Linked DNA regions of Notamacropus eugenii. The protein of the gene in region 1 interacts with the protein of each later gene in a pairwise test. Links are inferred from orthologs where the notes say so. Each region holds a gene or a part of one and is shown in the gene's direction. Other genes may lie near its edges. The genes, in order: ATXN1, RBFOX2, GCA and EFEMP2.

What was found.
Region 2: the proteins of ATXN1 (region 1) and RBFOX2 interact in binary tests that used the Homo sapiens proteins (3 or more experiments, as listed by UniProt). The link is inferred for Notamacropus eugenii from reciprocal best matches to the Homo sapiens genes ATXN1 and RBFOX2.
Region 3: the proteins of ATXN1 (region 1) and GCA interact in binary tests that used the Homo sapiens proteins (3 or more experiments, as listed by UniProt). The link is inferred for Notamacropus eugenii from reciprocal best matches to the Homo sapiens genes ATXN1 and GCA.
Region 4: the proteins of ATXN1 (region 1) and EFEMP2 interact in binary tests that used the Homo sapiens proteins (3 or more experiments, as listed by UniProt). The link is inferred for Notamacropus eugenii from reciprocal best matches to the Homo sapiens genes ATXN1 and EFEMP2.

The regions. Positions count from the first base shown.
Region 1 is NC_092875.1:189,267,002-189,274,767, reverse strand, and holds the start of ATXN1 (ataxin-1), read left to right. Parts: upstream 1-4,760; 5' UTR 4,761-5,006; intron 5,007-6,034; exon of another isoform or gene 6,035-6,559; intron 6,560-7,766. UniProt on the Homo sapiens protein: Chromatin-binding factor that repress Notch signaling in the absence of Notch intracellular domain by acting as a CBF1 corepressor. Binds to the HEY promoter and might assist, along with NCOR2, RBPJ-mediated repression. Binds RNA in vitro.
Region 2 is NC_092874.1:293,145,512-293,153,257, reverse strand, and holds the start of RBFOX2 (RNA binding protein fox-1 homolog 2), read left to right. Parts: upstream 1-4,601; 5' UTR 4,602-4,616; coding exon 4,617-4,922; intron 4,923-7,746. UniProt on the Homo sapiens protein: RNA-binding protein that regulates alternative splicing events by binding to 5'-UGCAUGU-3' elements. Prevents binding of U2AF2 to the 3'-splice site.
Region 3 is NC_092876.1:221,930,027-221,937,643, forward strand, and holds the start of GCA (grancalcin), read left to right. Parts: upstream 1-4,547; 5' UTR 4,548-4,812; coding exon 4,813-4,854; intron 4,855-5,169; exon of another isoform or gene 5,170-5,902; coding exon of another isoform or gene 5,903-5,929; intron 5,930-6,046; exon of another isoform or gene 6,047-6,124; intron 6,125-6,772; exon of another isoform or gene 6,773-6,826; intron 6,827-7,617. UniProt on the Homo sapiens protein: Calcium-binding protein that may play a role in the adhesion of neutrophils to fibronectin. May play a role in the formation of focal adhesions.
Region 4 is NC_092873.1:18,572,237-18,579,263, reverse strand, and holds the start of EFEMP2 (EGF-containing fibulin-like extracellular matrix protein 2), read left to right. Parts: upstream 1-3,957; 5' UTR 3,958-4,199; intron 4,200-4,477; exon of another isoform or gene 4,478-4,575; intron 4,576-5,308; 5' UTR 5,309-5,309; coding exon 5,310-5,411; intron 5,412-5,912; coding exon 5,913-5,961; intron 5,962-7,027. UniProt on the Homo sapiens protein: Plays a crucial role in elastic fiber formation in tissue, and in the formation of ultrastructural connections between elastic laminae and smooth muscle cells in the aorta, therefore participates in terminal differentiation and maturation of smooth muscle cell (SMC) and in the mechanical properties and wall integrity maintenance of the aorta.

The DNA.
Region 1 (7,766 bases):
ATAGCATGCTACAGGCAGAAACTTGGCATTGCTTATCCTCAGCTAGGAAGGAGGAAATTATTTTCAGCAATTGAAAAAAGATAAAAATAAATATATGTTTACCAGCTAAAGAACACATGAGCTTGCTAATGTAATTTTAAATCAATTTAATGAGGAAAGATACATATATGATACGGCCTATATTTTTAACTTTTTTCAAATTAGTAACTAAGTTATTGAACTAGAAGTAAAGCATTGTTCAGCTGCTATATGTTTTCTAGAAAAAAAATAAACTTTTAAATGCTGTGGTTTGCAGCTGATATTGGTTTGCTGAACTGATACAATAAACCCCAATGGGTGTGAGGGCTGCTGACTAAGTGATCCAGGAACTAAATAGGATTTGAGCAGTAGAGCAGGACTGTTTCTTCAGAGGTATTCTCATTTATCACAACAGAAATTCACCTCCTAAAGAATTAGATTTGTTCCCCTAGGTAAACACAGATAAAAGAAAGAAGTGATATTCAGAGGGGTTAAATGACTACACTGGGAAGATAATGGTAATTTTAGAGTCAAGATTTGAACCTAGGCCTCTTGAATAGATCAGTAAGAAATGAATTTTATAATCCACTTACAGGTGTTATGGAGAAATTCAACTGGAGCTGAATTTCTAAGAGTCAATAGATGTGGGTTTTCCAGCAAGTTCTGACACTAGTCTGTAACCTTGCCTAAATTATATAATCTCCATGAATCTCAGTGGCCTCATTTATCATCTTAGTTACCTCACAGAAATATATAAAGATGAAATCTTTTTAAAAGGGCTTTCAAAGTATATAGGGTGCTACACAAATATAAGATAAATTCTCATCATGTGCCTTAAAGCTAAGCAGTCAAAACTGATGAAAAATTAATATTATTATATATTCTTAAAATAATACTTCATTCCAAACAACATTATTGTGATCCTGTGCAAATGTCTTTTTTGCTAAGTCCTTCAGTCAAAATGAGACAAGGCTGACTGTGTTTATGAGTTAACTGTTTTTGAGGAAGGTCTATCCAAAGTTGCAGTGTTTGATTTGGGTATGTTATGAGTTTTGGGTGGGTGGAGGATACTGGAATAAGATCAAAATTCCATCAAAGAATTTAAATAAAAATTCTAAATAGGTGTATGTGCTGAGTACTAAACTTGAAAAGATGCCTACATCAGTCCATATCTAACTGCTATAACGTGGTAGTAAATATTTTAACTCCATATCTCTGTCAATAATTAAACAAAGCATACCTATCCAACGACTGCCAATAAACCGATTTATGAACCACTATTTTTAAATTGCCCTGAAGTTGGAGACCCATACAATTATTACATTCAGCACGCTTGTGCTCCCTCTACTGCTTTGATGGAAACATTAACTCATCCAGACTTCAGTACAATTTCCTCAGCAGGGTGCAATGTCTTTGAAAAAAATTACTACTGTGTCCACAAATTAGGGAGTTCATGAACTAGAACACAGAAATGGCAGAAAATAATTATGTCTTTAAGAAACCCCCAAACCTTTAAAGGCACAAACTGATGGGGACAAGACTCTAGGAACAGACAGAAGAGACAAGGGGGATGAATGAACATAGGAGTTAAGTGGAATACTGTGGGAGTTATGAACTTTTTTGGAAACTATTATTTTATAGCCAATTATTTTAAAGTATAAAAGCATTCTTGATACAATATTTCTAATCCCACAAACATGCAGCCAATAAAATTTAATGGGTAGACTTCTTTATATGTTCCTGATAGCTAAGTAATCCAAGACATATGTTAGGTAGGAAGATTCCCCGAATCCAGGAGTACAATGGTGGCAGAGGACAGAATGGAAGGCTTTTCTAGGCATTTCCTTGTCTTTTAAAGTTTGCCTTGTCCATGTGTGAATGTAATATCTGGTTTGTGAATAGTACTATAGTACTACACATTTGCTTACTGTTTCATGAAAGCTGTACTCTTTTGACTAAGCTTTTATTTGCATGAGATAGTCTCACTTTTAAAGAGACAGTGCCAGATCTGTCTTATTTTCAATTTAATCCTTTCTCATCTGAAAACAACTGTCTCCAATACCCTAGATAATGAAACGGTATCATGAAAATTATGCTTAGTTTTTGGACTTGCAGGAAGAAATAGTTACAGATTTAAGTCATAGTTTATGGCTGTTCATCTCAGAAATTAATGCACATTCTTGTTTTACTGTCTTAGTAATATACAGATTTAGTTTCCTTAAGGGTGCATTTAAATTAATTGACTGACTTTAATCTGAATTATGAGTTTTAATTTGCTGAAGGCTGTTAAAATAACTTGAACTGCTTATGTCAATGAAATAATAAAAATATTTGCTTCTTTATTAAAAAAAATTCTCTTAATGCAAGATGACTAAAAATAGACTGGAGGTGGATTGGACAGTCTGCAGATTATGAGTTGGAATAAAAATGTCTCACTTAAGCCAAAAACATGGCAACCAATATTTTCTGTTATAAAAATATTTTAGATGAATTTAGTTTTTATGAAAGCTGTCTGAAGCTGAAAGGAATAGCAGCAGCTCTCTATTTATTCACAAGCCAGTAATAATACCTGAGGCTCCAAAAAGAAGCCATTACTGCATAAAACCAACCAGTTCCTGTTTTTGTTCAAAATCCCACTCTGATGAGGAGGTTAAAATTTTATGTTTTGTTATGTTATTTGATACCAACCTTCACTTTGCTAATGCCTGTCCATTGGAACAGCAAAAAAGATCACAGTTTTTTGAGAAATGGATCATAACTGTCCACTAGAGGCTGTAATGAGACCAACAATGTCATTGTACAGCAGACCCTGGATTTTCAAATGGTAAAAATAAATAAAAATGAGTAATGATGACCAATGGTTCTTTTTCATGAGTAACAAATTATGAGCTCGGATTTTCAAAATGATAGAAAAAATTATTTTTCATACTCAACACACTATTTTATTTTCATATCTAAAGTACAAGGCTTTGCAGCCCTTCAGGGGGCTACAAGCTGACACCACATTTCTTTTGGTGATTCTGGATTTGCATGACATGTTGACTAATGTATTTCAGTCACACATGAATGAGGCTGAAAGATCCATTCAACATAGAGGCAACAAGTAGAGTATTAAAATGCAATGTAAACTTCTTTTTGAGCTGAATGTTCCCTGTTTATCCAGACTAACTCCATGAAGGAGACCAGACAGTGTCCCGACACCTATAGGTTCCCCATTTATCTGCTGTAAGAGGAAACTGAGCTTGCTTCAGCATGAATGTGGCTTCTTTTCCTCTATGTATGCCACACCTGTTGGCAAGGTGAATAATTCTCAGAAAGAGATTCCTTCCTACTGAGGTAACATTCAACTAAGGGATAAAAAAAAGAAAAGAAAAAAAAAAACCCTAACAACCCCGAAGAGTTTACCACTGAGCCCAGAGGATGTGCTTGAATCAGCTGTCTAAAGTTCATTTGACATCTGCCATTCCCCAACTTTCACTAGGACCTCATTTCGGATTAAATCAATGAACTTGACATTGTCCAGGTGAAGATGTTGTCTCTTGTAGCTGGCTGCTCTGCTGAGACATTAGGAATAGTTACTGAACATCCGGGTCCAAAGAATCTTTTCTGGCCTGCTTTCGAGAGTAAAGGAATGGGCAAGGGGTAGTCAGTTACTAGGCTTCAGAGAAAGTGGAGGTAAGGGAAAGGGGAGTCCCTCAAAGTTTCCCCAATAGAATTTAGTGCAGATTTCAGGGACCTCGTAGTCATCCTCGATCTTCTGCATTAAAGAATGAGTTCCCAAGCCTTGAACTGCTAACCCACTTGCTCGCTCAACCGGTTTCAGGGTTGACATGAGTTGTTCATTTAGCAGAGGCAAGACACTTTGAGCATCTGTGTCCAGAGGAGCGGTTAGTTCGGTTAGGTCAATGTCGATTGAGTAATTCTCTCTCTGGCACTCACCTGGAAGTCGACACTTCTGTAACCTCCTTGGGGTTTGAGTAAAAAAAGTCAGTCGGAGCTCCTCGGAGACCTTTCCCTGCCTGCTTGCCAAGGAAGTGAAAGAAGAGTGTGTGAGCGTGTGTGCGTGTGCGTGTGTCTGTGTAGGGGGGAGGCAGTGGCGGAGGCGTTGTAAGAACCCACCCTCTGAGGTTTAAATAAGCCAGTCCCACCACCTTGACCTTTCATTTCTGCCACCCTTCCTTTACTATCATCCCTCACCGCCTCCCATCCCCAAAAAGCTACTTTTTCCGAGGAGTGGTTAATGCGTGCAGGTTCTGGAATGAAAACTGCTTCCTCTCTCCCCCCAGCCCCCACCCCCCGCCAGTCCCTAATCCCTCCCAGTAAATTCTTAGAAGAAGGCTGTGCAGAGACCAGGGAAGGGTTAAGCCCGGCTGGCCGGGCTCTGCTGTGCGTATGCAATAATCTGTGTGGCTCTCTTGGATGTTCGCCAAAGAGTTGCCTTGCCTCCTCCCCCTCCCCCCCCACCCCAGTCCGGCCTCCTCTGCCCCCGCCCCCCCCCCCCCAGCTCTTTTCACTCCCCCCCACCCCCCAGTAGGATCCTTGAGCGGTTGCAGCGGCAGCCAACTGCTCCATATTTGGCTTCTATTACACATTTACATACTGGAGCAAGCGAGCAAGCGAGAGAGGGAGGGAGAGAGAGAGAGAGAGAGTGAGGGAGAGAGGGAGAGAGGGAGAGAGAGAGAGAGAGAGAGAGAGAGAGAGAGAGAGAGAGAGAGAGAGAGAGAGAGAGAGAGAGAGAGAGAGAGAGAAGGGGGGTGGAGGGAGGAGGGAGAGAGGGAGGGGAGTGGAGGAGGAGGAGAGAGCAGTGTATACCGCAGACATCATTTCTACTACAGTGGCAGAGGCGTCCAGGACCTGTTTCACTGCAGGGGGATAAAAAACAAGCCCTGTGGATCAGCAGCAGCGAGCAGCAACAGCCGCCGCAAGACATTGTTTCTCTCCCTCTGCCCCCCTTCCCCAAGCAACCCCAGATCCATTTACACTTTACAGTAAGTGGCTATTTTTTTCCTCCTGTTTCTTTCTCTCCCCCTCCCCCTTCTACTCTCCTCCCCCCTCTTCCCCCTCCCCCCTCCCCGTCCTCTTCTCCCCTTATATAGATTAAGACCCTTCTTTCTGCTATCCCGGGAACTACATCATCAACAACAACAAACAAATCCAACCCAAACCCTCAAACGGCGGCGGCACCAACCACAGCTGGAAGAGCAGAGAAGAAAATGATCCGCGTTGTGTTGTGTGTGTGTGTTGTGTGCGTGTGTGTACATACAACCTTCCTACGCTTCAGCCTCTCTGTTGCCAACACCCCCACTCCTAGCGCTGGGGCAATTGGCTAAGGGAACAGGCCAGGAAGCAGATGGAATAGGTGTGGGCGGGAGGGGGTGGGGGACACGCGCCCCTGGGGGGAGGGGGCGGGGGGTGGATTGTCCCTGGGTGCCCGGGGAGATTCAGTGCACCCCTGTTACTGCTGCTGCTGCCACTCGGGCTCCCGAGTGCCTGTAAGAAATGTCCTCCCTCGGGGTGGCGCAGAGGGAGTCAGCAGCAGCCTGCACTCCTCTCCACCTCAGCCCCCCCAACACTCCCCCCACTCACCCCTACTTTGCACTCTCCAGACTGGGAAGGAGGGATTCTGTGTGTGTGTGTGTGTGTGTGTGTGTGTGTGTGTGTGAGCGAGCGTGCACGCGTAGGTATGTGTTGATTCTGGGGAGGGCTGGACTCCCAGCTTACCGGCTTCTTCCTCTTTGCTACTGGGGGTCGCCAAGCCTGGGAAGATTGTCCATCTGTGTGTGTGTGTGTGTGTGTGTGTGTGTGTGTGTGTGTGTACACATCTAGGGGAAGTGGAAACTCTGTGTGTGTGTGGGGGGGGGGGGGTCTGTCCAGGACTTTGCAAGTGACCAAGACCTACTGCCCTGGCTAGAAGAAGAGGGGTGGGAGCACTGGGGAGGGGGCGTAAGGGGGAGGCAGAGACAGACACAGAGAGACTGAGGCTGGCAAGGGTAACGGGGAGGGGACGCGCGCGCGCGTGAGTGTGTCTGTGGGTGCCCGGAGCAGCGGCCGCGGCTGGAGTGGCGGCCCTGGCTGGCTGCTGCCTTGTTTGTGCGGCGGCTTCCTGATCATGTGGAGGGAGCCTCCGCTGCTGCTGCTGCTGCTGCTGCTGCTGCTGCTGCTGCTGCTGCTGCTGCTGCTGCTGCCTCCGCCGCCGCCGCCGCTCTGCTGCCGCTGCCCGGTGCCTGGCTAGCACTCGGTTCGAGGGGTGAGGGGAGGCTGCTCGCGGGTGCCGGCTGCACGTTGCACGGGAGAGAGCGTAAGAGAGTAGTAGAGGAGCTGGTGGCCGCGGGGCAAGTCCTGCCCCCGTGCCTAGAGTGAAAGGGCTTGTGTGGCTGCTGAGAGGGTGAATGAAGCCAGGAGGAGGGGAAGGAGAAGGAGGAGGAGACGCTGCAGGGATTGGGATGCGCCCAGTAGCCCCGCTGCTCACTCAGGGCCGGGCCAGGCCGGAGACACCATCACCACTACCACTACCACCGCCTCCTACTTGTTCCAGTGCTGAGTGAGTGCAGGCCAGTCCCCAGAGGGCAAGCGAGGGAGAGGGGGAGGGTGTGCAAGCGGGGCCCAAAGGGGAGAGGTAGAAGTGAGGTGTTGTAATAAGAGGGGCGTGTGCGTGCGTGCGTGTGAGCGTGTGTGAGCGTGTGTGTGTGTGTGTGTGTGTGTGTGTGTGTGTGTATTGGGGGAAGGGGTCATGCTTAGAAAGGGACTTTGAGATTGGGACCTTGGTCATCTCTGGTCTCCTGCTTTTTGTTTTTTTTTTTTTTCTTCCTGCACCAGCTTCAACCCCTTCACCTTTTCCCCCGCCTCAGTTGGCCTCAAACTTCCTGTGCTGGGCTTTCGTTTTATTTCAGGCCATGCAGGGTTTTTGCTGGAAGTGGTAAAACAATTCCGATTTTCTAGGGAGAACCTTGGTGAGGGGTGAGGGAGGAGGGACTGAAGCTGATGGAGATTGTGTCGGGGAGGGGGGGACACTGCACAGTTTCCAAGGACGTTGGGAATCAGCAAAAACCCATTCCAGCACTGTTTTGTTTTGTTGTTTTTGATAGCTACAACCCTACAAAAATTGGGAACATTTAAATACTTTTGCAGATGGGAAAATTGCTGAGGAGTAGTAATGGCAAAAAAAAAAAAAAACCCAAGTCGGAAGCTGGTTATATAATGCTCTATGTGGATAACAAGAACAAGCTATTTTTATTTTGTTTACCGTATGCTGTGCAGTAGGGACTCCTCCAAACTGGATCTATCCCGGATGAGATTCTGAGCTTCCCCCACAAGATGCTCAGGATACAGTTAACAAAATCAGAAGACCCCGTTGTGCATAAACAATAAAAGCTAATGCTTTGAAATATCATCCTCTCCTTAAAATATGGTCTTGAATACACAGCCGTGTGTATAGGTGAATAAGTTCAGTTTTAGATACAGAGTATTCCCAGTTTGGTGACATTTGTTTTTTATGATGTGGACTGCACTTAATATTTAATCGTCATTGTTATATATTATGTAGTAATGGTTAGTTAGTTATCAGATTTATTTAGGCACACTTTTGCTAATGCCTTAGGTAAGCTTTCTGCATTTGGATTTCTGATGAAACCTTCAGTTAACAGAGACCCCTGCCATCTTCCAACAACCTCTTTGCATTATTCATCGGATGAAAATAGTTTGATCCGCTGACTCCTCGGAATGAAGGTTATTGACGGAGGGTGCTACAA
Region 2 (7,746 bases), on another chromosome or scaffold:
ATTTAAAAAGCCAGGGGGCAGAGGGCTGGCACTGAAAGAAAACAATGAATTCAATTACCCTGTTATCATCCCTCATCAAATTCTACAGAAATAGAAACGACACACACTCATTATGTGGGGAATGCTAAGGCTAGAGCAAGCTCTCTAGTCTACAGGCAGAGCCATGTCCAATAAAGTCCAGGCACAATGGAGGTGCGGGTTGTCAACATCAGGAGGCCATGCTGGTGTCTAGCCTGGCCAGTTTTATACTAGGAATGAGATTTAAAATGGCATTTATCTTAGCCGGAATCCAATTTTTCATTAGGGTGGGTATCTGCCCCGGGATCAGTCTGCCACATGGCAGGAGTCTGCTTTTGCTTCCTCTTTCTCCCCACCCTGAGTGTGGTAGGATGTTTCTCTTGCCTTGCTTTTGTAAAATGCAAACCAGCAGTGAAGTAGGAACAGTCCATCTATTAAGGTTCCTTTTTCTCATGTTACTTAGAGAGAAATGAGAGATTTAGGGGAATGGGGGGTCCTGAGCACCACTGGTGTTCTGTTGGAGGGAGGCAAGTTTGTTTGCTTTGGGCATTTCCCAGAAGTTCCTTGGTTTGTGCCAGTTCAGGGGTGGGACCCTGGGGGCAGATCTGAATCACTGCCCCCACCCACGCCCCTTTCTCCTGGGCTGGGGCCTATGGTTGTTTTTCCTGCAAGGAGGTGACTTCATGGAGCAGGGGTCCCGGATCTGGGTGGTTCCCGGGCTCAAAGTCACAGTTTGCTTCCTGACTCTGGGTCTGGGGCATTGGGTTTCAGCAGCAAGGAGCAGCAGTGACTTCTTAGACACCTCTTGGTGCTTCTAGGCACCCAACTGAGACTGGCTCTTGGTTTCATGTGTTGGGAATCACATGCATTTTGGAGTTAAAACATGACTTCCTTATGTTCCAGCAGGGAATCCAATGAGATGTTTGTAAAAAGTGCTTAGTGTGGTGCCTGGCACACAGTAGGTTCTGGATACGTGCTTATCTCTTTCCTCTCCCCTTCCCCTCTTAACCTGGGATCTACAGGTCTGTGGAAAGTTTCTAGGGGCTTGTGAATTTGTCTGGGGAAAAATGACATCTTCTACTAACCTAACTGAAATGTAGCATTTCCTTCAATTATCTAAAAACAGGATTCTGAGAAAGAGTCCACAGGCTTTGCCAGACTGCTAAAGGCATCCAGGATACATACAAGGTGAAGAAACCCAGCACTCAAGGAATGGTCATTTCCTCCCTTTCCCCAGCCAGCATCTCCCTCCTCTCCCTTCCAGTCTCTATTTCACACTGAGATTACTTGCCCCTCCCGCTCCCACTTCCCACTGCTCAGAGGGCATTGTGCTTCCTAGGCTCATACTAGAGTTTGCTAGTGGTGACTGTGTTGGTTGGGCTGGGGTCCTTCCCATCAGCCATCTCTATCTTCATGGTCCCCCTCCCCCACCTCACTGGTGCTCACAGGTATTCCACATGTCTGTTTATCCAGCAGGGTCTGATTTCTCTTTGTTCTGCCTCTGCAAGCATTCCTCCAATACTTATCTCTGCTTTTCAGAGGGGCTCTGGATTAACATGGATAGCTAAAACAAAGGACCTAGAAGGCCACTGGGCAGACCTGGCCCCAGACATTGTCCTGAGAGGTAGGGGGTGGAAGTTTTCAGAAAATCACCATGCTTCCAGGTGACCTTTGGCTTATCCCAGCTGCCACCTCAAAGCCAGGTCAGCACTCATTTGTTGGAAGGGGGTTCCAACTTTCCCAGTCTGGATAGGCTGCCCTGGAGGAATCTGCCTACTACTTTAAATAGACAATTCATGAGAAGAGCAGCGTTTCCAATGCTCTCATTTTATGGGGGAGGCAACTGTGACCACAAGAGGGAAGGGATTTGCCCAAGATCACCCAGGCAGTGGTAGAGCTAGATTTTGAAGATCAGGCCCTTTGACCCTGAAGCCAAAGCTGTTCCCATCAGTTGGCTTTGCTTGGTTCACTTGGTTCCTGGTTCGGAACTCTACCCCAGTCCCCTCCAGGCTCGAGGCAGGAGAGACTTGGACCTTCTAACCTGGGACTGCTAAGAGGTAGGGGTAAAAGAGGGAAGGAAAGGCAGGACAGTAAAAGGGAACGATGGCTGCATTTGGGGTTAGAGGATTTGAGTTTCAAGTCTGGCTCTGCCATTCAATGTAACTTAATCTCTTTGGGGCCCAATTTCCTCTCCTGTAAAGGAGGGGAAGGGGAGAGTCAGACTAGATGACCTCTAAGATCCTTTTCAGCTCTAAATCTATATCCTGTCACTGTAGGACCCTCTTTCCCCCTATGCTTTGAGCAGGAAAAATTATGGGCCCCACAACATCACAAGTCAAATGAAACCCAAGGCTAGCTCCCTGCCCGCCACTGGAGAATGTACAGGCTTTGCTAGCAGGGACTGTTTTTTCATTGGATCCCCATAGAGCTTTGCACACAAGGAGCAGACAATTAATAAATGCTCATGGAATGAACAAATGGACCAAGAGAACTGTCTCAGGGTTTGGACTGGGATGTGCAGCGTCTGGAGTCAGGAAGCCCTGAGCTCAAATTTGGCCTCAGACACTTACTAGCAGTGTAACCTTAAGTGAGCCACTTAACCCGTCTGCCTCATCTGTAAAATATAATAATAGCACCTACCTTTTAAGGTTGCTGGGAGGATCAAATCATGGTAAAGCATTTTAGCACGTAGTAGGTACTATATAAAAACACAAGCTATTATTATTGCAAGGAGATTTTTTTTTTTTTTTGCAAGCAGAACGGGAGAGGGAGAGTCCCGCCAATCTCCCTCCTACACCCACAAACCTTTCTACTCAGGCACAGCTTCCCTTGGCCCCAGATGGGTGAATTTGAGTCATAATGGTTTGCATCCACTGAGCCTAAGACAAGGGTCACCTGAGGGGGGGCGGGGCGCCCAACTCCTCCCCCTTCTCTTTGGCTCCCAGCCCACCACTCTCACTGCAGAGATAAGTACTTCCCGCCCAGCCACCTCTCCAGCCTGGCAAAGAAAGTCTTGTTCCAGGCTAATAGGCCACGCCCCTCCACCTTCCGAGAGAAGTAACCGGCACCTCCACACTCCTTTCCATTCCTAGGCGAACATCAGACTGTGCCCAAGGTAGAACAGGCTCACCCTTTCACCTCCCCAGATTTGAAGATTCCTCCCTGCCCCTTGCCTCCACCTCCCACCAACTCCAGCATAATGGCATGAGGGTTGTGTTTGGAGACAAAGGACTTGGGTTCAAGTCATGTCAACAAGCATTTATTAATCGCCTACTACGTGGCAGGCACTGGGCTAAGTGCTTTATAGGCATTATCTCATTTGATCCTCACAACAAACCTGGGGATTATTATCCTCATTTTACAGTTGAGAGAACTAAGAATAAGTGACTTGTCCAGGATCGCGGGGCAAGTAAATGTCTGAGAACTCAGATCGTTCTGACTCCAAAACCAGTGCTCTATTAGCAGGGCCAGGTAGGTATGATAGAGACGGGACAAATTGAATCTAATTAACGGAGGGTTCAAATCCCAGCACTGCGGCTTGCTACGTAGTGTGACCTTGGGGAAGTCTCAGCAAATGAAAAGGTTGGGCCGAGTTAGACCCCTGATTGTATAAGCTTCAACCTGGGGGTGGGGCCCTGACAGGACCCGCCCCTTTTCTTTGTCGAGTGGCTCGCCTTAGACCTGTGACCCCGCCCCTGAAAAGCAGGTCCCGCCCCCAAAGGCGGCAGGCCACGCCCACCCCTTTCGCCGGCCGCCTCTGCCTCCGCCTCCTCTCCGCCCCTCCCCTCGGGATCCGTTCTGCCGCCCCCTTCCCTTTGCCCTAGCCCTCCTCGCCTCCCGGAGATTCCCGAAACTTGCCGATTCCTTCCCTATCGCGCCGGTCGGGCTCGATCTGGCCCCACTGACCGGAGGCGACGGAGATTGCCGAAGGGAACGGGCCCCGCCCCCTCCCCTCGGGCCCGCCCCTGCCGGGCTGCTGCGAAGGCGGCTCCGCAGCTCCCGGCCAGTCAGCTCGCTCCGGGTCCCGGACCCCTCCCCCAAATAAACATCCGCCCCCCGGGGATCTCGGACCCGCCCCACTCCTTTCCTCCGGTCTGGAGCCCTCGAGAGGTGTGTCTGTGTCTGGCTCTCAGGCGGCGAGGGTTTGCGTGTGTGACAAACCGAGCGCGCGGGAGGCTGGCCGGCCAAGCGGTGGGGGGGGGGAAGGCCTCGTGCGCGCGCGCGCCAGCAGCCGCGGGGGCGCGTGCGCGCTCTGTCCCCGTCGCGAGCCGCCCGAGAGCGAGGCCCAGACCGAGAGCGAGGCTTCCAGGAGCCAGGCGAGGGGAGCCCGGCCGAGCGAGGCGAGCGCGCCAAAGGCCGGCCCGTCGCGCACGCGCACGCGCACGTGCCCCCGCCCGCGTGGAGGAGTGTGCGCCCGCCTCGGGGAGTCGCTCGCGCGCGCGGGGGGCGGGGCCGCCGGGAGCCCGTGAGTCGCGACTGTCGCGCGGCCGGTGGCGGGGCGCGGCGCGGCCAGCGTGTGTGAGGGCGCGAGAGGCGGCGGCCTGTCGCGCGTGGCCCGGAGCGGCGGAGTGGGCGAGGCGGGGCCGGCGGGCGGGCGGATGGCGGAAGGGGCCCAGGCTCAGCCGCGGCCGCCGCCGCCGCCGCCCCCCCAGCCCCCCGCGCAGCCCGGCCCCGCGCGGGGCGTCAAGCGGGAGTCCGAGCTGGAGCCGCCGCCTCCGCCTCCCCCGCCGCCCGCGGGCCCCGGCCCCGCCGACCCCGGCCCGGGCAAGCGGCAGCGCACCGACGAGGGGGCGGAGGGCGCGGGGGCGCCGGCCCAGGTTCGGCCCGACGAGGGGACAGCGGCCGCAGCGGGAGCCGGAGCGGGAACAGGAACGGGAGGCGGAGCGGGAGGCAGCGGCATGCAGGTGAGAGGGACGGGGCGGGGCACGCTCGAGGGGGGCGGGGCCGGTGGGCGCCGGAATGGGGGAGCGGGACACCTGCGGGGGAGGGGCATCTGGAGCGGGGAGGAGGGGGGACACCTGGCGGGAGGCAGGGCATCTGGCGGGGGGGGGGGGGAGCGGGACACCTGGCAGGGGGCATCTGGATAGGGGGAGCAGGACATCCACCTTGACAGGGGGCATCTAGTTAGGGGGAGGGATACTTGGTTTGGGGCGTGCTTAGATTTTGGAGGGGCAACCGCTTTGGGTAAGGAGATGCTTGCCTTTGAAGACACTCATCGGGAAGAGCATTCTGTTCGGGGATGGGTATACCCTGATTTTAAAAGGATACCTGGTTTAGGGAAGGGGGGGCACGTGGTTGAACAGGGACAGGGACATTTGGTTTGGAAGCCGGTTACTCAGCTATTTGGAAGGCAAGGTAGCTTTGGAGCTTAGGAAGAGGGGCATTTATTTTTGCATAGAGGGACTTCTGGCTTGGGGAAAGAATCACCTGGTTTGAAAATAAGAATCTTTAGATTTTGGGGGGAATGCTAGTTTTGGGGAAGCAAGACATTTAGGGAATACCTGGTTTGTTAGGAACACCTGATTTTGGGGAAATAGAAACTGGGGTTCCCAAATCATGTAGGGAATGCTAGTGTTGGGGAATCTGACATTAGCTTTGAGAGACACTCATTTCGCGGAACATCCTTTTTGGAAAGATAACTTTTTGGAGAAGGGAACATCTGGTTTTGAGAAAAGGGAGGACACCTTGTTTTGGAGGTGGAGCACACAGATTTTGAAGTTTGGAAGGAGGGCTTTGCTAGATTTGGGAGTCACTTGTTTCGGGGGAATTATGATGGTGATACCTTGTTTGGTGATGGGAATGTCTAGTTTTGGACAGAGACCAAGGTTTTTAGAAGAAATAGCTATTTTTGGAAGGGGGAAATGTTTGGTTTTGGTGGTCCTCATTTTTGAAGAGGGGTCTTTTGGAGGTAGTGTGCTCAACTTTTGGGAAATGCTTTTTTGAGGGCAGTTCATTTTGGGGGAAGTGACATAGTGGAACATTGGGAGGGAGTTCTTAATTTGGTGGTGGGGAACTCAGTTTTGCAGGTGAGTGGATGAGGAGCCCTTAATTTTGGGTGGGTTATTTAGTTTTGGAAAGGGAGTTGAAGGGGAATTCTCATTTTGTATAAAGGGACCTGATCTGAAGAAGGGGGTGTTGAGGGCTAGAGAGAGAGAGAGCCCTGTATGGGTGTGTGAATATGGGTGGCAACTAGTGGATCGTAGAGATACTGAAGAATGAAAGATAGGAGAGAATGACTCTGGTGGGGTTGAGACTCCCTTTGGCCATCTCTTTCCTCTCTTCTTGAGGAGAAAGGAATGGGAATAAGCTTGGATATGTTGTTTGGGAACAAGCAGATGAACCAAGCAGAAGAGGACGAGAAGGAGGGGCTGTTGTGACTATAAGGGCCTGAGTACTCTGGGCCAGAAGGTCTACAAATGGAGGAGGTGGACTCAAGGAAGTTAGACAAGAGAAGAGAGGGATGGAGAATCTACTCCTAGAGAGAGTAGAAAGGGGATGTGGCTTAGGCTGTGGGTTAAATCAGTTGTGGGACTTTTAGCAACAGCAGAGTTTGGTACTGTGGTCACAGCTCGCTGAGCCTCCTTAACTTGGAACAGCATGTCTGCTGAGACTGAAGCCAACAAGCATCCCTCCTGTGCCAGGCTTGGTGCATCCCTTGGATGAACAGCCAGGCTTCTCACAGACTCCTTTCCTACTTCCTTGTCTTCAAGCCTGAAAGGAAGTTTTCTGGACCTTCAGGATTCTGAGATGAGAAATTAGGGGTGGAAAGAATGGGGAGTGTGGTGTTTGGTCTGTGGTACATGGTCTGAGGTCAGAGCCAGAGCACTTCGTGGTTGGGGAGAGGGGCATGGTCTCAGCCTGGAAAAGCCTTATTTAGTGTGAGAGGTGAGGGGTGCTGCTCACTGTGGTATTCACCCTGCTTGTGCAACCAGAAGTTGTTCAAACTGACCAGGGTGCCTTAGAAGTCTGGGCAGACCTTGAATGCCTTCTCAGCTTTGTTTCCTGATTTTCAGAGCCCTTACGGGCTTCCTGAGCCACAGAAATTGCTGTGCCCATGCATGGTACTTTTCTGTAGGATTCTTTGCTCTTCTTAAAAGACAAAATCTGTTCTCTAGAAGGTAGTTTTGTCCCGTTATGTGTTGATTTAAGGGAGATGACCCATTTGTTTACCTACTGTGCCATGGGGTCCCAGTTGTCCCCCCACATTGAGGGCATTTTTTCTTACAGGATTCTTTTGCTTGGTCTGCCTGTTTTGCTCAGACTTTTTACTTTAGCAGGGAGAAATACTACAGGGAGCCATAATCTAGGATCCTGGAAGCAAACTAGAAAGAAAGCAGTGGCCTCTCAGACCTAGAAGCTGAGGTGTCCCATCGTTGGTGTGAAAGCTGTATGCTGAAGGCTTGGAACTTTGACAGGGGTGCTTGACAGTTAGTTTCTGTAGGACACAGTTCCTTTGGTCTCTTGAGATTGTTTTTTTTTCTTCCTTAACCTCATGGAATGATCTCTCTTAAGACTGACTGAAGATCTTAAAGTTGTTGAGTCCTGGTGTTCTGGGACTTTGGGGGGATGCAGGAGAGGAAGTAGATTTAGCAGTTTATCTGCCAATTGTAAGTCTCAGTGTTTTTTTCACTGATGCTTATTTATTTACTTTTTAGTTCCTAAGTGCTCTAGTTACTGTAGCCCAAAGGCATGTCCGTATATTCAGGGCTTGCCAGTGTCCAGCTCTGG
Region 3 (7,617 bases), on another chromosome or scaffold:
GCATTGCAGGGGCCTCTTTCCCTCCCCAGCCCCTACCAGGGCCTTTCTCACAAGCAAACAGCTCACAAGACTAGCTGTACCTGTCTGAATCCTCTCTCCTCTACCGGAAACTACTCTCACTAACTTCCTCCTAGTTCTGCCCCACCATTCCTGTTCCACCCTTTCATCAAGCTCCTCCCACCACATATTTAAGCAGGTCACATGGGCCTATTAATGAATGGGAGAGATCTTTCCATTTAAATTACCATTACACACCTCTGGTGTGAGCCCTTTTCAATGCACTCAACTCTCCTCTGTGGCTCCAAAAAGCTGTAGCATGTTTTGGGGCCATACCTGGCAAACGGTCCAGGCAGATGGGCTAACACAGTTTGAGGGTAACTGATGAACCTCAAACGCATTGGTGAATTAGGGGGGTGTCTATCCCAAGCATATGTAGCCTCCACCCCACCCTCATACCCCCAATAGGTAGATGAGAACAGTTTGTTCCCATGGCCATGAAGGCAACTGAAGCAAGTGCTGAGAAATAGTCAGACCAAGGTCGTATCAAGGTATCCTGAGCCAAGGCCAGTTCTCTTGACTTTTGTCTTGTCACTGGACTTTGATGACTCTGGAAGAGAAAGTAAAGCTGATGCCTTTGTGAAACTCTTCCTCATTTAAATCCAAGTCACGTGCAAGACAAGACATCACCCCATGATGTCAGTGGTCCTCTTGAATAACAGCCATTATGATTAGGTGCAGAGTGCTCATGGTGTAATTCCCTACGCAGAAGAGGCTGGGAAGCCCACTTTTGGGAGATGATATGTAATGAAAATGTCTTGGAGAGATATGAAGCACACATAGCCTTTTGGTAGCTGATTCTGGTTTGCCAACTATATAGTGGATATCAGCCCCTTTGCCTACAGTGGGAGAACTAGAACTAGAATTTGAGCTGGGGATGAGTTCCAAAGGCCTGGCTTCAGCCTTTCCTTTCCTTTCAGTTTTACTTCTGTAGTGCCAACATGGTGTTCATAGCATCTGTGGCAGTCATGAATATCCCGGCACAATTCTGAATTGCAAAATACAACTGACGGCTCCACATGTCAGACAGAACCAAAACATTTATTCAGACACCAGAAGGCCAAATCCATCATAGTAACAAAGAAATCTATACACAGTAGCAGAGGGCAACAACCCCAAGCCTTCCCTCTGTTAGGCTTCCCACAAATCAGCTACATTAAACAAATCACAAACAAGCTGTCTCGCGCTAGTTGCTGCTTTTCCCAACTCTGATTGCTCTCTAACTTCCTCTCAGTCCTGCTTTAGCTCCACCTCTTCCCATTCTACCCCTTTCTGTTCCATGAAACTTGACTCGTGACTCAGGCTTTCATGTGATTTAAGTAGGTCACATGGGCCTATTAATGGATGGGAAAGATTTTCCCATTAACAAGCAAAATTCTATTAACAATAAGCAAAAATGCATTATCAGCACAATTTCCTTGGCTGACTTCTTCTTGAGAGACAACCTCTAGTAAGAGGCAAAGCTATAAAAGGAAAGGCTTTTGGTTTTTCCCTCACCCAAGGCTAGAGATGTGGTCTCATGAACTGGCATCCTCTTTGATGGGAAGAAGGAGAGCTCTTCTCAGAACCTTTATGTTAGGAGGGCACTTGGATCAACCATCTCTTCATTCACACTGGGTTTCACTCCTCCAGGGGATACTTACTCTGTCCCTCCTTTTTTGTGGGTTGTTTTCTTTGTGTTCCCTCATGGATGCATGCCCTATGAATGCCCTGAAGAGAAGGCACTATCTTTTTACTTTCTTTGTATCCCCACCTTAGCACAGTGCCTGGCACATACATAGCAGATGCCTAACAAATGTTTAGTTTCACTGAATAAATTGTGTAAAATAAAATTTTATAAAACAAAACTGCAGTTGATAGGACTGAATGAACATAGGCTTTTGTTCTTTGCCTACTTTTTCATTTGTTTGTTTACACATATGAAGTTGGAAATTGTAAATTTATGAGTTTTGAAAGGTCAGGAGAGAACACCATCTGACAGTAGGAGAGTTTGGGAATCAAATTCTTGCAAAGGTTTTGCAGTTAACCCAGCATTAAGGCCTTGAAGCAATAGCTGAGATGAAGACTCATAATGTAGCTAAATTTGGACCTGGTGGGACTAATGCTATGTAGACTTTGTGCTAAGCCCACTTTCCCTAGAGATCAAGGTAGCATGGCAGAAAGTGTGGTATAGGCAGCATAATGTGTTAAGAGTGTGGCCCTATGTGTTGAGGGACATGTTTACCTGTGTTTTTGACGTATCTTTGAAATAAATACTCCCTTGTAAAAGCTAAAAAATATATACACTACTCTTGATGATGGAAGTTCATGCTTGAATTTTTAACAAATTTTGTCTTATTTTGTCTTATTTTACTTAATTATTTAAAGCTTTTTATGAGCAACATTTTCTTTCTACTTCTTCAGAACCATCTGTTAAACTGCCACCCCAATCTCTATTAATAATTTAGTTTCATCTAGAAGTATAAACCTTTAATTGGGTATATTAATCAACTTACGTTTTACCAGTTGTTTCTAGAGTTTTGTTTGGACCATTGCCATGGACCTTTCTGCTTCTTCCTGTTCAAAATAGAACTGTTCCACGTTTTATAGGGTCTATGTATCTTTTATCCCTTTCCAGGAAGTCTGAAAAACAATGAGATGTCTTGCCCCATGTAGCTTTTTCTTTAGTTTTGCTTATATAACATCTTACAAAAGTAAGTAAAAACTTAGTTTTGTTTCTCTGATAAAAGCCTGATGTATTACATATGTGATATATGGAACTAATTCAACTATATAAGAATGAAAGCTATTTATTTCTGAACGGATTACTGTACAATGGATATATACCAGTAGTTCTCAAAGAAAGAAATCAAGGCAACCCAAAGGAAAAACTGATCCAAAACACTAATAATTAGCAAAATGAAAATTGAAACTACTTTAAGGTTTCACTTGAAAACCCATCAGATTGGCAAAGATTACAAAAATGGAAAATATCAGTTGATATTTGCTACAGGAAGACAGCCACATTAATACACTTTGAGTGGAGCTATAAATTGGTTAAGCCATTCTGGTGAGCAAGTTGAAATTATGGCCCAATAGTTACTAAACTGTGCATATATTTTAACCCAGTTAAACTAATATTAGGCCTATACACCAAGTGATCAAAGAAAGAAAAAGAACTCTGTACAAAGAATATTTAGAGGCAGCTCTTTCTGTCTTAGCAAAGAACTGGAGACAATAGAGATACCTACTAATTTGTGGTTGGCTGAATAAAAACTGTTATATAAATTTGTTGTTCAATCATTTTTTTTTCAGTTGTGTTGACTCTGTGACCCCATTTGGGGTTTTCTTGGCAAAGATGCTGGAGTGATTTGCCATTTCCTTCTCCAACTCATTTTACAGATGTGGATACTGAGACAAATAGAGTTAAATGACTTGTCCATAGTCACACAGCTAATCAATGTTCTGCAGCTGCATTTGAACTCAGCAGCAATTTCTAACTTCAGTCCTGGCACTCTATCAACTGCAACACTTAGCTGCCCATTAAATATGAATTTAATGGAACATAATTGAACTTTAAGAATTAACAAAAGGAACAGCTTCAGAGAAACCTGGGGAGATCCCATGAAATGATGTATAGCGAGCTGAGCAGAACCAGAATAAGATTTGATATAGTAACAACGCTGTAAAGAAAAACAACTTTGAAAAATTTAAAAACTCTGATCAAGCCAATGACCAACCACAATTCCAAAGGCCTGAGGAAAAAGCATGATACTTTACCTCCTGACAGAGGAATTAAAGGGCAGAATTAGACATACATTTGTGAACATGGCAAATATGCAGATATGTTTTTCCTGCTTATTTTTATTTGTTGCAAGGATTGTGTTTTAATTTAAAAATTTTTTTTTAAAAATTGGGAACCATAGTGAAAAGATTGCCAATAAAATGAAGTAAAGAAAGGGGGGGTCATTGACTTAGAAAGAAACACAGACTCTCTTAATTCTACTGCTTTCCCTCTTTAATTATTTCCTATTTATTCTACATTGCTTCCTTCTACAAATCTGTGTACTTACTGCCTTCTCCATTAGTTTGAGAACTCCCTGAGAGCAGGGATGATCATTTGCCTCCTTTCACATACTCAGCTCTTAGCCCAGTGCTTGGCACACAGCTTAATAACAGCTTTGAAAGGAACAAATTAAATTTACTATATACTTTTTAAAAAGCAATCTGCATGTAACAGAAATGTGCATTTTAATACATCTTTTTGTTTTATCTTGTATATGGAAACATTTTTTTTTGTGGTTGTTAAATTCAGAACAAAAAGTTGTTTGTTTTTAAACCGCTGGAATTTAAATGAGAAGGGAAAGTTAGGTGAGGAATACATTCTTCAGTCATATCCCCCATTATATTTTAAGGAAAATGTCAAGATTCCTGCCCACCTCCCAAGGTCTATTGAAACAAGTAATATTCATCGATTACTTTTACTTGAAAATTAGGAAGCCAGTCCTTTTTTTCACGGGGGTGGGGGGAGGTTTCCCAAATGCCCCAGTCTGAGAAAGGTTCTTGCTGGGCAGCTCTAAGCTCTAACGTCCCTTTCACTTCTAACGTTCTAAGATTCCAACGTGGATGAGAGGCCCAGGGTTCCCATTACAGGGACAAACCTTGGCATGAGCCGTGGCAAATCACTGAACCCGAGGCAGTTTTGGTGGCTGAGTTGGAGTAAACTCGTCTGCCTTCTCCTTGCGGCCTCGGAAGCGTTTTGGAGCCCTCGGGGCCATGGGCCGCCCACCTTCCCAGGCCTGCACCTTCCTTCTCCAGGTAACAGGTTTCCTTCTCGTCCCATCCACTCTGATTGAGAACCAAGCCCGGCGGCCCCCCCCTGTGCTCGCTGGACTCCCTGGGGGTTCCAGCGCTGACTGCCACTGGAAAGCCCTCCAGAACTGGCCTCCTTCTACCTTTCCAGGCTTCTTACACCTTACTTTCCCAAAGACATCCTTCGATAGTCACGCTGGCCTCCGCGCCAACGCTTCTGGCATTTTCTCTTACTGACCCCCCAATACCTGGACCCCCCCCCCCCCCCACTTCTCATGTCTCTGGCTTCCTTCAAGTCCCAACTAAAACCCTGTCTTTTGCTCCAGCCTTCCTTCCCCAGCCCCTCCAGTGCCAGCGCCTGCCCCGGTCCTATTTGGCCTGGTTGGATCTGTTCCCCCACTGGACTGTAGGCTTCCAGAGGGCAGGCGCCGTCTTCAGGGCGTCCTTTCGGCTCTTAGCACAGAACCCGGCACCCAGAAGGCGCTTGAGACGTGTGGATGGCGCCCAGCACGTGGGAACCGCCCACGGCTAGGGGTGAAGCAGTACTAGCGTTCTGTTGGGAGTCATGTGTACGTGTGGCAAAGCGCTTTACAAAGATGGCCCCGTTTGAGTAGAAACGGGAAAGCCGGCATTTCAAGTCACTACCCCTTCAGTGAAGATGGGGGGTATCTCGGGGTGAGAAGCCTCCCACCTGGGAGAGCCGGGCTCAAGGAGGCATGCTGAGGGAAGTTATGGTGGTGCCTCAGGGTCCACCAGGAAAGGCGAGGGAACTTCTCAGAGCAGATAAAAGCGACCTAGCATGCCAGCGACCCCCTGCGACTGACAAGAGGTAGGGCGCCCTCGAACCTAAGGGGCAGGACACACGCGTGTCTTCGCGGCCGATGAAGGAAGTCTCGCGAGATCCTCAGCAGCCAATCAGGAGCTGAGGAACGGAAGGCGGGGCCGGACAAGGAGAGGGGGGCCGCGGGGCTCAGAGCAGACGGAAGAAACTCGTTCGTGTTTCTTTCTTTCCCCTTCCCTTCGCTTTGGACCGCGTTGCCCCGCTCCGCTCGCCATGGCCTATCCTGGATACGGAGGTGGGGTAAGTAGCCTGGGGCATCTCCCTGCCGCCCTGGACCTCCGCCCCCCTCGGGGTGTGGCCGTCCCCAGCGGGCGGTGCCAGCGGGGCTAGGCCCCGCCTCCTGCACCTGCTGGCTGCGGGGTTCCTTGCGGGCGGGGCTGTGCAGGAGCCCGGGCGGAGCGCGTGCCTCCTCACCTGGTCCCGGGCTCGGAGAAGGTGCCTGCTCCCCCGCCCTCACCCCTGCCCCGCCCCCCCCAGGTCGGGGAGGAGAGGGGTTTTGTGTGCCTCTTTCCCCGGGATGCGCTCTCCGGAGGGAAGAGGCGAGGCGGTAATCGTGTCGGTTCCCGCTTCACCTAAGTGGGATATTTGAGGAATTTAGTTTCCTAAGATGGAGACTTCCTCCGTTTGTGCTACGGCGGAGGAAGAAGAAAACGCTGCCCAGGTTCCCGTAAACCTTTCACAAGACCCGCCCCACGCTTTTTTGGAGGGGGAGAACCTTCCCCTCCCCCACCCCACTACTTCCTCTCCTGACCAGGCGTGATCCAAATGAGTAGATAACCGACTAGCTGTCTGTATGTATACACACACACGCGTGTACGTGTGTTAGCGTTCCGGAAGGCAATGGTCCCCCTAACAAAGTTTTTCGGCAAAATAATTTGTCCAGTATGCTTCCCAAAGAGCGATTTGGGTTCGTTGTCGTGGAGCTTGCGTCCTTGACGAATTCTCTTTTGTTTTATTTTTAAGTAGGAAAGTTGCTAAAATTGGAGGTCGCTTCAGGACTTACCTGTAGCTTCCTAGGGCACCGATTCACTAGAATCCCATAAAGAAAGGGGAGGCAGCGTCTCTTTTACCTTTCTCTTGCAGGAGTAAAATACTGAATTTCAGTGTTATCAGGAACTCTTGGCCTTGAATTGTGGGGTAAGGGCTTCCGTTTTAAAGTTTTTATTTGGAAATTGTTAACCACCGTCTAGGGTGTTAGACCTTAACTTCCCCAAATAATGTATACTAAGATTCTTGCCATCTTCAGAACTTTTCCTGTAACTGTCTGGAAGACTTTGCTTTTCAAGCAAATGATGCTTCATTCCAGCTGTTCAGTTTTTCTTGGGCTTGTCTGCTGCTTCTCCATTTCCATGCTCCCAAAGCTAAGTGCCTGAGTTATTCACTGTTCTAGTGAAGTGTGTCCTGGATGGCCATCCCTTTGATCAGTGAGTTTCTCAGGTCTGTACTTGCTTCAGGCAGCTGTCACTGAAGCACACTGGAAATTTCTTCTTACAGGAATGATGAAAGAGTATTTTCTCAACATTTGGTCAGTCGTAATTATGGTGTCTAGAGCTTCATTCACCATTTCACTAAATGACCTTGCACTCAAAGCCCGTTCTGTGTATTTTAATTGCTTCTGTCCTATATATATTTTTTAATATGTCTGAAATATGTTGGAATTATTTTCTCTTTTGACTATTTCTTGAGAGAAAGGTACTCCTTTTTCTGATCACTGAGCATAGACCCAATATCTGTGGTTGCTTAATGCTTACTTTCTGAGAGTAATGTATCATATGGTTGTGTGTTGTCTAAATATTTTAATCTAATATTAGGACTAAAGCAGGTCATTAAATGAAAGTATTATAGGAATAGGCACAGTTATTTCATTGTAAATGTTTAAAAGGGTTTTTCAGACTAGAAGTGACTTATCATTGTAGATGTAAATACAA
Region 4 (7,027 bases), on another chromosome or scaffold:
GAATGTTTTTTTTTCTTTTTTATTGCTACTTCCTATACAATACTGTGAATCTCTGTCCACAGTTCTTCAGATCTGATTCATTAAAACTATCCATCACCTCCATTTCATATCCATAAGGGACACTATTTAGGCCATACTACATGGTCTGATGGTTTTCCCTACTTTCAATTTAAGTCTGAATTTTGCAACGAGAAGCTCGTGATCTGAGCCACAGTCCACTCTAGAACTTGTTTTAACTGGCTGTGTAGAGCTTTGCCACCCTTGGCTGTAAAGCATGTGATCAATCTGATTTCTGTATTGACCATATGGTGATGTCAGTGTGTAGAGTCACCTTTTGGGTTGTTGAAGAAGGGTGTTTGCTTTGACCCGAGAGTTATCTTGGCAAAACTCTATAAGCCTTTGCTGGTTTCATTTTATTATATTCCAAAACTTGCTTGTTACTCCAGTTATCTCTTGATTCCTACTTTAGCATTCTAATCTCCTAAAATGAAGGTGACATGGGGGAGGGGACAGAGGGTGTTATTTCTAGAAGACATTGTAGGTCTTCATAGAGTCCGTCAGCTTTGGCCTCTTTAGCATCAGTGGTTGGAGCACAGACTTCTATTACTGTGATGTTGTGCCAGGCCCAGAGGCCTGAGGGCTGCCCGAGTCTTACCTTACCTATCGCAGGTCTTCGGCTGGCCAAACTGGATAAACGTATGAGAGAAGAGACTTTCCAGAGTCGAACAAGGGTTAGGCTTTATTCAGGGTCTTGGTTACATGTGCAGGGGGAACTCTTCCTGGGGAGCGAGGAATCTCCCAAGGAGGCAAAGATCTTACAGTAAGAGAATGGAAGTGGAAGTGGAAGTGGGGAGAGAAGGGAGGGAAGAAAGAAGAGAGGAGAGAGGGAAGAGGGGCCTTCTGTCCTGTAAGGGCCCCTCAGCGCTAAGAGCGCCTTCAGGCTTTCCTGACCCTACTTAAGCTCTCCTGCCGCATAGTTTGCACCTGAATACTGTGCCTGTTAGAGAACAATAGGTGTGCTCAGACCTGGGCCAATCTCGAGGGCAGGGATGCTCTCTCCCAGCACGTTTCCTACGGGAAGAGGCGGAAATGCACGAGATAGCCCTGTCTCACACCTCAATTCCCTGCTGTTCCCTGGGGGGCCTCATGAGAACTCTAAGGTTTAGAAGTCCTCACTTTTACCTGCCCAAGACTGTCCACATGGAACTGAGCTTACACCCCCAACAATGTTGAACAGTTTGCCTTGGATTCGAACAGATGTCATTTTGATCTTCTACCCCCATAATGCTTTTCTCACTGTTTTATTGACTATGATGTCTACTCTGTTTTTTCGAAGGGATTCTTGCCCACAGTAGTAGATGATCATCTGAATTCACCTGGATGTGGATATTAAATCTTTCCACCTCCTGTTTGACCACATCTATCTTACCTTGTTTCGTAGTTCTTACCTTCCCCAGTTTCCTATGCATTGGACTTTCCCTTCTTCACCAGATGCATCCAGAGCTGAGCTTCCCTTCAGCTTTGGCCCACCTGATTCCATCAGAATTGGATTCCATCAAATTCCATTTGACCTGTCCGTCTTGGTTAATCCTTCATGGTGTAGCTCATAGTTTCATTGAGCTCCACAAGCCCCTCTGCCATGACCAGGAAGTGATCCAGAAGGGGAAAATGGGGGGAGAGGGGGAGGGCTCTAGATGACCTCTGACATCATTTACAGCTCTAAACGAATATCCTATAAGGTGATACTTGAGCCTAGCCTTGAAGGCTTAAATATTATAAATTCTAAATTTATTAACTATTTTCAAAAGCAAACAATTGAAACTAACAAATCATACATGAAACCATTGGATCCTTAGGACTTCATCTGATAAAAGGGGGATGTCTTGGAGGGAGGGAGGGAGGGGCTGGAGGAAGGTGAAGGAGAGGTGACAGTCCTTGAGAAGGTTGGGGAGACCCTCAGAGCATCTTAGCTTCTGGTAAGGGATTGATTTCAGCAGCCTGGGGGAAAAGATCTATTTGCCTATCTGTTGGTTTGGTTGTTGTTTCAGTCCTAACTCTCTGTGACCCCACTGGGAATTTTCTTGGCAGAGATATTAGAGTAGTTCACCATTTCCTTCTCCAGCTCATTTTACGGATGAGGAAACTGAGGCAAACGGGTGAAGTGATTTGCCCAGGGTCACACTGACAGTAAGTGTCTGAAGCCAGATTTGAACTCACAAAGAGGAGTCTTCCTGACTCCAGGCCTGGCACTCTATCCACTATGGTTCCACCTATCTGGCCCATTTACCTATCTCATCTATTTATTTTTCTGTTCTATACAGCTCTCTATCATCTGTATATCTGTCTTTCTGTCTATCTGTTAATCATCTATCCTAGAATGAATTGCCATTTGTAAAACTGATAATTAAATCCTCTGTTGTGATATCAGGGAACAGGATTTCTCAGAGTGGGGAAAACAAACATGGAGGATGGGCTCCAAGTTTTTGCTCTAAGCTTGGGACTGAGAGAAATCTAGTCTAGGCACTTAGCTCCTGAGGGGTGAAAGGGGGTGGCTTAAGGGACTCCATTCAAGTCTGGGGCAAAAGGAGGGACCAGAATCTCTCAGTTCTATATATGGAAAGAAGGGAGGAGTATAATCTAGTTCCTTGACTTCTAGTCTCCAGGAACCGTAGGGAAAAGGATCTCTCAGCTTGAATTTGGAAAATGGCAGGGATCAAGGGCTTAGTTCCAGACTGCGGGGAGTAAGGAGATGATTGAACTTTCAGTACAAAGCTTGGAATGGAGTGAGGAGTTGAGAGAGAGAGAGAGAGAGAGAGAGAGAGAGAGAGAGAGAGAGAGAGAGAGCTTATTCAAATTTCTTGTCCCTGTGCCCTTGGCACCAGGGTATGGTGCCTGGTTCAGGAAGGAGCTTCTAAAATGATTGTGAGATAGGATTGGACTGGGCCCTTGGGCAGCAATCTGGGAACACTGGAGGGACCAGAGTTGATCTACCCAAAGCTAAGGGAATGTAGGTGGGAGGAATTTGGATCTCTAATCTCCAGGCTCAAGAACTGCTCCAGGCTGGGGGTATTTGGAAAGGACTAAAATCTCTCAGCTCCAAGACTACATGGCTTCTGAGATCCCTCTTCAGCTCTAGATCTGGGAACCTATGAGCCTAAGAACTGAAACGTGGAATGAAGGGGACAGGGTTTCTCATCTAGAACCTGTGGATCTCTCATCTCCAGACACAGGAATTTAAGGCATAGAGGATGAGGGTCTTCTGGTTCCTGCTCAGAGAGATTTGGAGAGGGGGAGAGAACAAGATGTCTCAGGTCCAAATTGGGAGGGATGAGTGCAGTGGGGAGAAAGGCATCTTGGCTAGAGGCTTGAGATGGATTCACCAGGATCTGAAATTTAGGGATTGGGAGGGGCCAGGATTTCTCAGATTCAAGTTAGAAATGGTATGGCGGGTGGGGGAAAACAGGGCAGGCATCATATCAGAGATCTTCTATTATAGCCCAGGGGAATGGGGGGAAACCAGGATCTCTCAACTTCAGGTTGGGAGATGGGGAAGAGTGTCAACCCAAGAGATGAGGGGGCCTCTGGGGATCTCAAGTCCAAAGTGATGGTATTGGGGACCCCAGGGTGTTTCTATTTTAGCCTGCAAGATTGGGGGTTTAGGGATCCCAGCTCTAGCCTGAACTCTGGATGACTCTACTTCAGGCCTGAGTATTGAGGGTGTCTCTAGGCTTTCTCAGTTCTAACCTGGGATAATTGGGGGCTCTGGGTGTTTCGGCTCCAGGCTGGGGGTTTAGAGGGCCTCAGATTGTGTTTCAGGCTCATCCGAAACTTGGAGAGAGTAGGACCCGAAGGAAACCCGGGAGGCAGGCGGCCACCTTGGCCCTGGTCCTGGCCTTGGCCTTGGCCGTCAGATTCCCGTAGCCCGAGATGCCTGGGCGGGGCGGGGTGGGACGAGACGGGGCGGCCGTCAGCCAGGGCTGCGCGGAGGCCGGCAGCCGGTGGGCTCGCTCGGGCTCGGGTCCCTCCCCCTGGCTCAGGCTCAGGAATCCGTGTCGTGTCCGGGGCGGGCTGGGGGGCGGGGGGCGGCCGCTTCCTGGGGCCGCTTGTCCAGGGAGCGGAGCCTCGCCAAGCCTACAGGCTCAGAGCAGCCCAGAGCCCCGGGGGCCGCGGGGGGTGGGCTCGGGTCGCTCCAGCCTCAAGTAAGTGTTGCGAGCCCGGGGGGCTGGGAGCTGGGATGCCAAGGCCCCCGCTGAGCGGAAACTGCCGACTCAGCGGAATGGCCGAGGGGTGGGGGAGGGGAGAGTTGCAAAGTTTGGGGGGGTGAAGATAAGCCTGAGTCCCCCTTCCCTTGACCCTGGCAAGGAGCCCCCAGGCCTCCTGGACCCCAAACTGCGGGAGGAGGGGTACAATGATCCCGGGAGGCCTGGGGCTGGGGGACTGAGGAGTGAGGTGGGTCCCACTTCCCCTGGGGGAGCAGGAGTGCAGGTTGACTGCAGGGGTCCTGTGCCTTCAGCTGCAAGGCAGAAGGCTGAGGTCCAAGGGGACCGAGAAGGAGGTCAGCCACACTTCCTTTGGGTGAGCTGAGGGGCAGCACTTGTGGGAAGAATTTGGTGGGGGAGGGGACACGCAGAACAGCTGGGTCCCCTGGGGAGAGGGGGGAAGAATAGTCTGGATCCAATGGGAAAAGCTGGGGCGGGGGTGGGCCGCTAATAACAGTTCCAATCCCCTGGACAGCGGTGGGGGCGGAATAGCTGGGTTCTGTGGGGGGAGCTGGGAGGCAGAAAGCTGGTCCTCTCTGGAGACCTCATGGAGGAAACCCTGCTCCGAAGGGAGAGCTGGAGGGTGGAGAGAGCTAGGAGTAAGGTCCTCCTTTACTCCACAATTCTGAGGAAAGGCTCCGGGCAAGATATATCAGGGTTCTGTGGAAAGAACCTTTGTGGGGCATTGAGAGCTGAGGGGTTGGGGAGGAGGCACAAAAATGCCTGGTGTTTGAAGGGGGAACCAGGACTGGAAGTGAGGGCTGGGCTGTGGGGTAGGGAAGCCAAGAAGTATGGTCCCCCACATTCAGAACTGGGTCCAGGGAAGCAAGATGTCTGGGCCCTAGGAAGGGAGTGAGGGCTGTTGGCTGTGGACATGAGACTGGCCACGCTTCCCTTGGGAGAGCCAGGGCTGGATGTCTGGGGCTGCGGTCATGTGGGTGGGGTGCAGGATTCCTGCAGCCTCAGGGACACTAGGGGCTGAGGGCAGGACCAAGGGGAGGGTCCAGATCCAGGGGAGGCTGAGGCAGCTTCTCCTTCCTTGGTCCTAGGATGCTCCCTCTTGTCTCCTTTCTCCGAGGACAGCTGCTACTGCTGCTGTTTCTTCTGGGCACTGCATCTCCCCAGGACCCTGAGGAGCCGGACAGCTACATGGTGGGAACCCTGGAACTCATGACAAGGGGGATAGTATGGGGAGAAGCAGCAGGAAACTGAGGAGGCTAGTGAGGGGATGGAAGAGAAAAGACCAAACCACAGGGGATCCTGAGATAAGGCTGGAGGAAGGGGCAGAGGCAGGGTTTGGGGAGATCTCCCAGCCAACCCCAAAGGGGCTAAGATCATCAGCTGGTATAGCTGATCAAATACTGGGGTTGGAATTTTGGAAGATCTGAGTCTGAATCCTGCCTCTGATGGCGACCTTGGGCAAGTCTCTCCACCTCTTTGTGTCTCTGTTTTGGCAACTATAAAATGCAGGTAACAACCACACCTGACCTAGAGGGAGCCAATGAGATAATCTTTGCAAAGTTCTTTGCAGACCTGAAAGCTAGAGCCCTACCTCCCCCTCCCCCCCTTCCCCCTCCCCAAACCCACTGACCAGGGCTTCTGGCCCAGAATCAGCGCTTTAGAGCCTGACTTTCTTCCTTCCTGTTGCTCTAGGAGTGTACAGATGGCTATGAGTGGGACACGGAGAGTCAGCACTGTAAGGGTAAGTATGAGCCTCCCCTCCCTCCCCCCCCCAGTGGAGAGGAGCACGCTTCCACAATCTCCCTAAAGAAGGCTCTGATGCTGGCCAGGGAAAGAGGCTTAGGCATCTTATAGTACAACCTCCACATTCAGACACCAGGAAACTGAGACTTCAAGAGGAGGAGTGACTTGCCTGGGGTCCCAAAGGTAGCAGTGACCAGCTGGGATTTGAACTCAGTTCTCACTCCACCTTTCTTGGTTCCCTTTTCTATGAGAGGGAGCTGATGAGAAGACTGAGCCAGCAATTGCTGTAGAGGTGTGAGGAGCTTGAGATGAGGGCGCCTGGGCCTTAATTTGATGCACTGTTGGGAGGTACCAGAATCCCAGAGGTGGGTTAGGGGGAGGAGCCTCCAGGTCTCCCCTGTTCAGCCAGAGCAAGCTCCTAGACTCCTCTGAGCCTGTTTCTTTGTGAAAGGGGAACACTAATGCTACTGACCCTGTGGGGTCCTTGTGAAAAGCAAATATGATAGAGTTCATCCTTGACCAGTAATCTTTGATTAAATACCTGCTACTTTCTAGATACTGGGGATAAAAGAGGATACCAAACCAGAACAATCCCTGCCCTCAACGAGCTTATATTCCCCCTGGAAGGAAACGACAAATAGAGAATGGGTCACTGAGAATTTAAGTGCGAAATTAAGAATTTACTACAACTAAGAATTTATTATGTGCTAGGCTCTGTGCTGATTTCTCAAGGATACAAAACCAAAACAGTTCCTGCCCTGGAGTTTATATCCTAATGGCCAGCAGGGGAGCTACATATAGAGATGCTACATCCAGAAGGAAAGTCAGTGGGGGGACTAAGTAAATCTAAAGAATCCAAGTATGATACATAAAAGTAACACCCATGTATCTCTGAAGTATTTAGAAGTAATACAAAGTAACATCCAGGGAGACTATTGTAGCAGGTGGCCCTGGGGATCTGCTTTGAAGGAAGTTGGGAGTTGTAACGAGCCAGGAACAGCTCCTGCCCAGACACAGAAAGAGAGACAGAGGCCCAAGTATGGGGAACTTCATCTCTATTACTT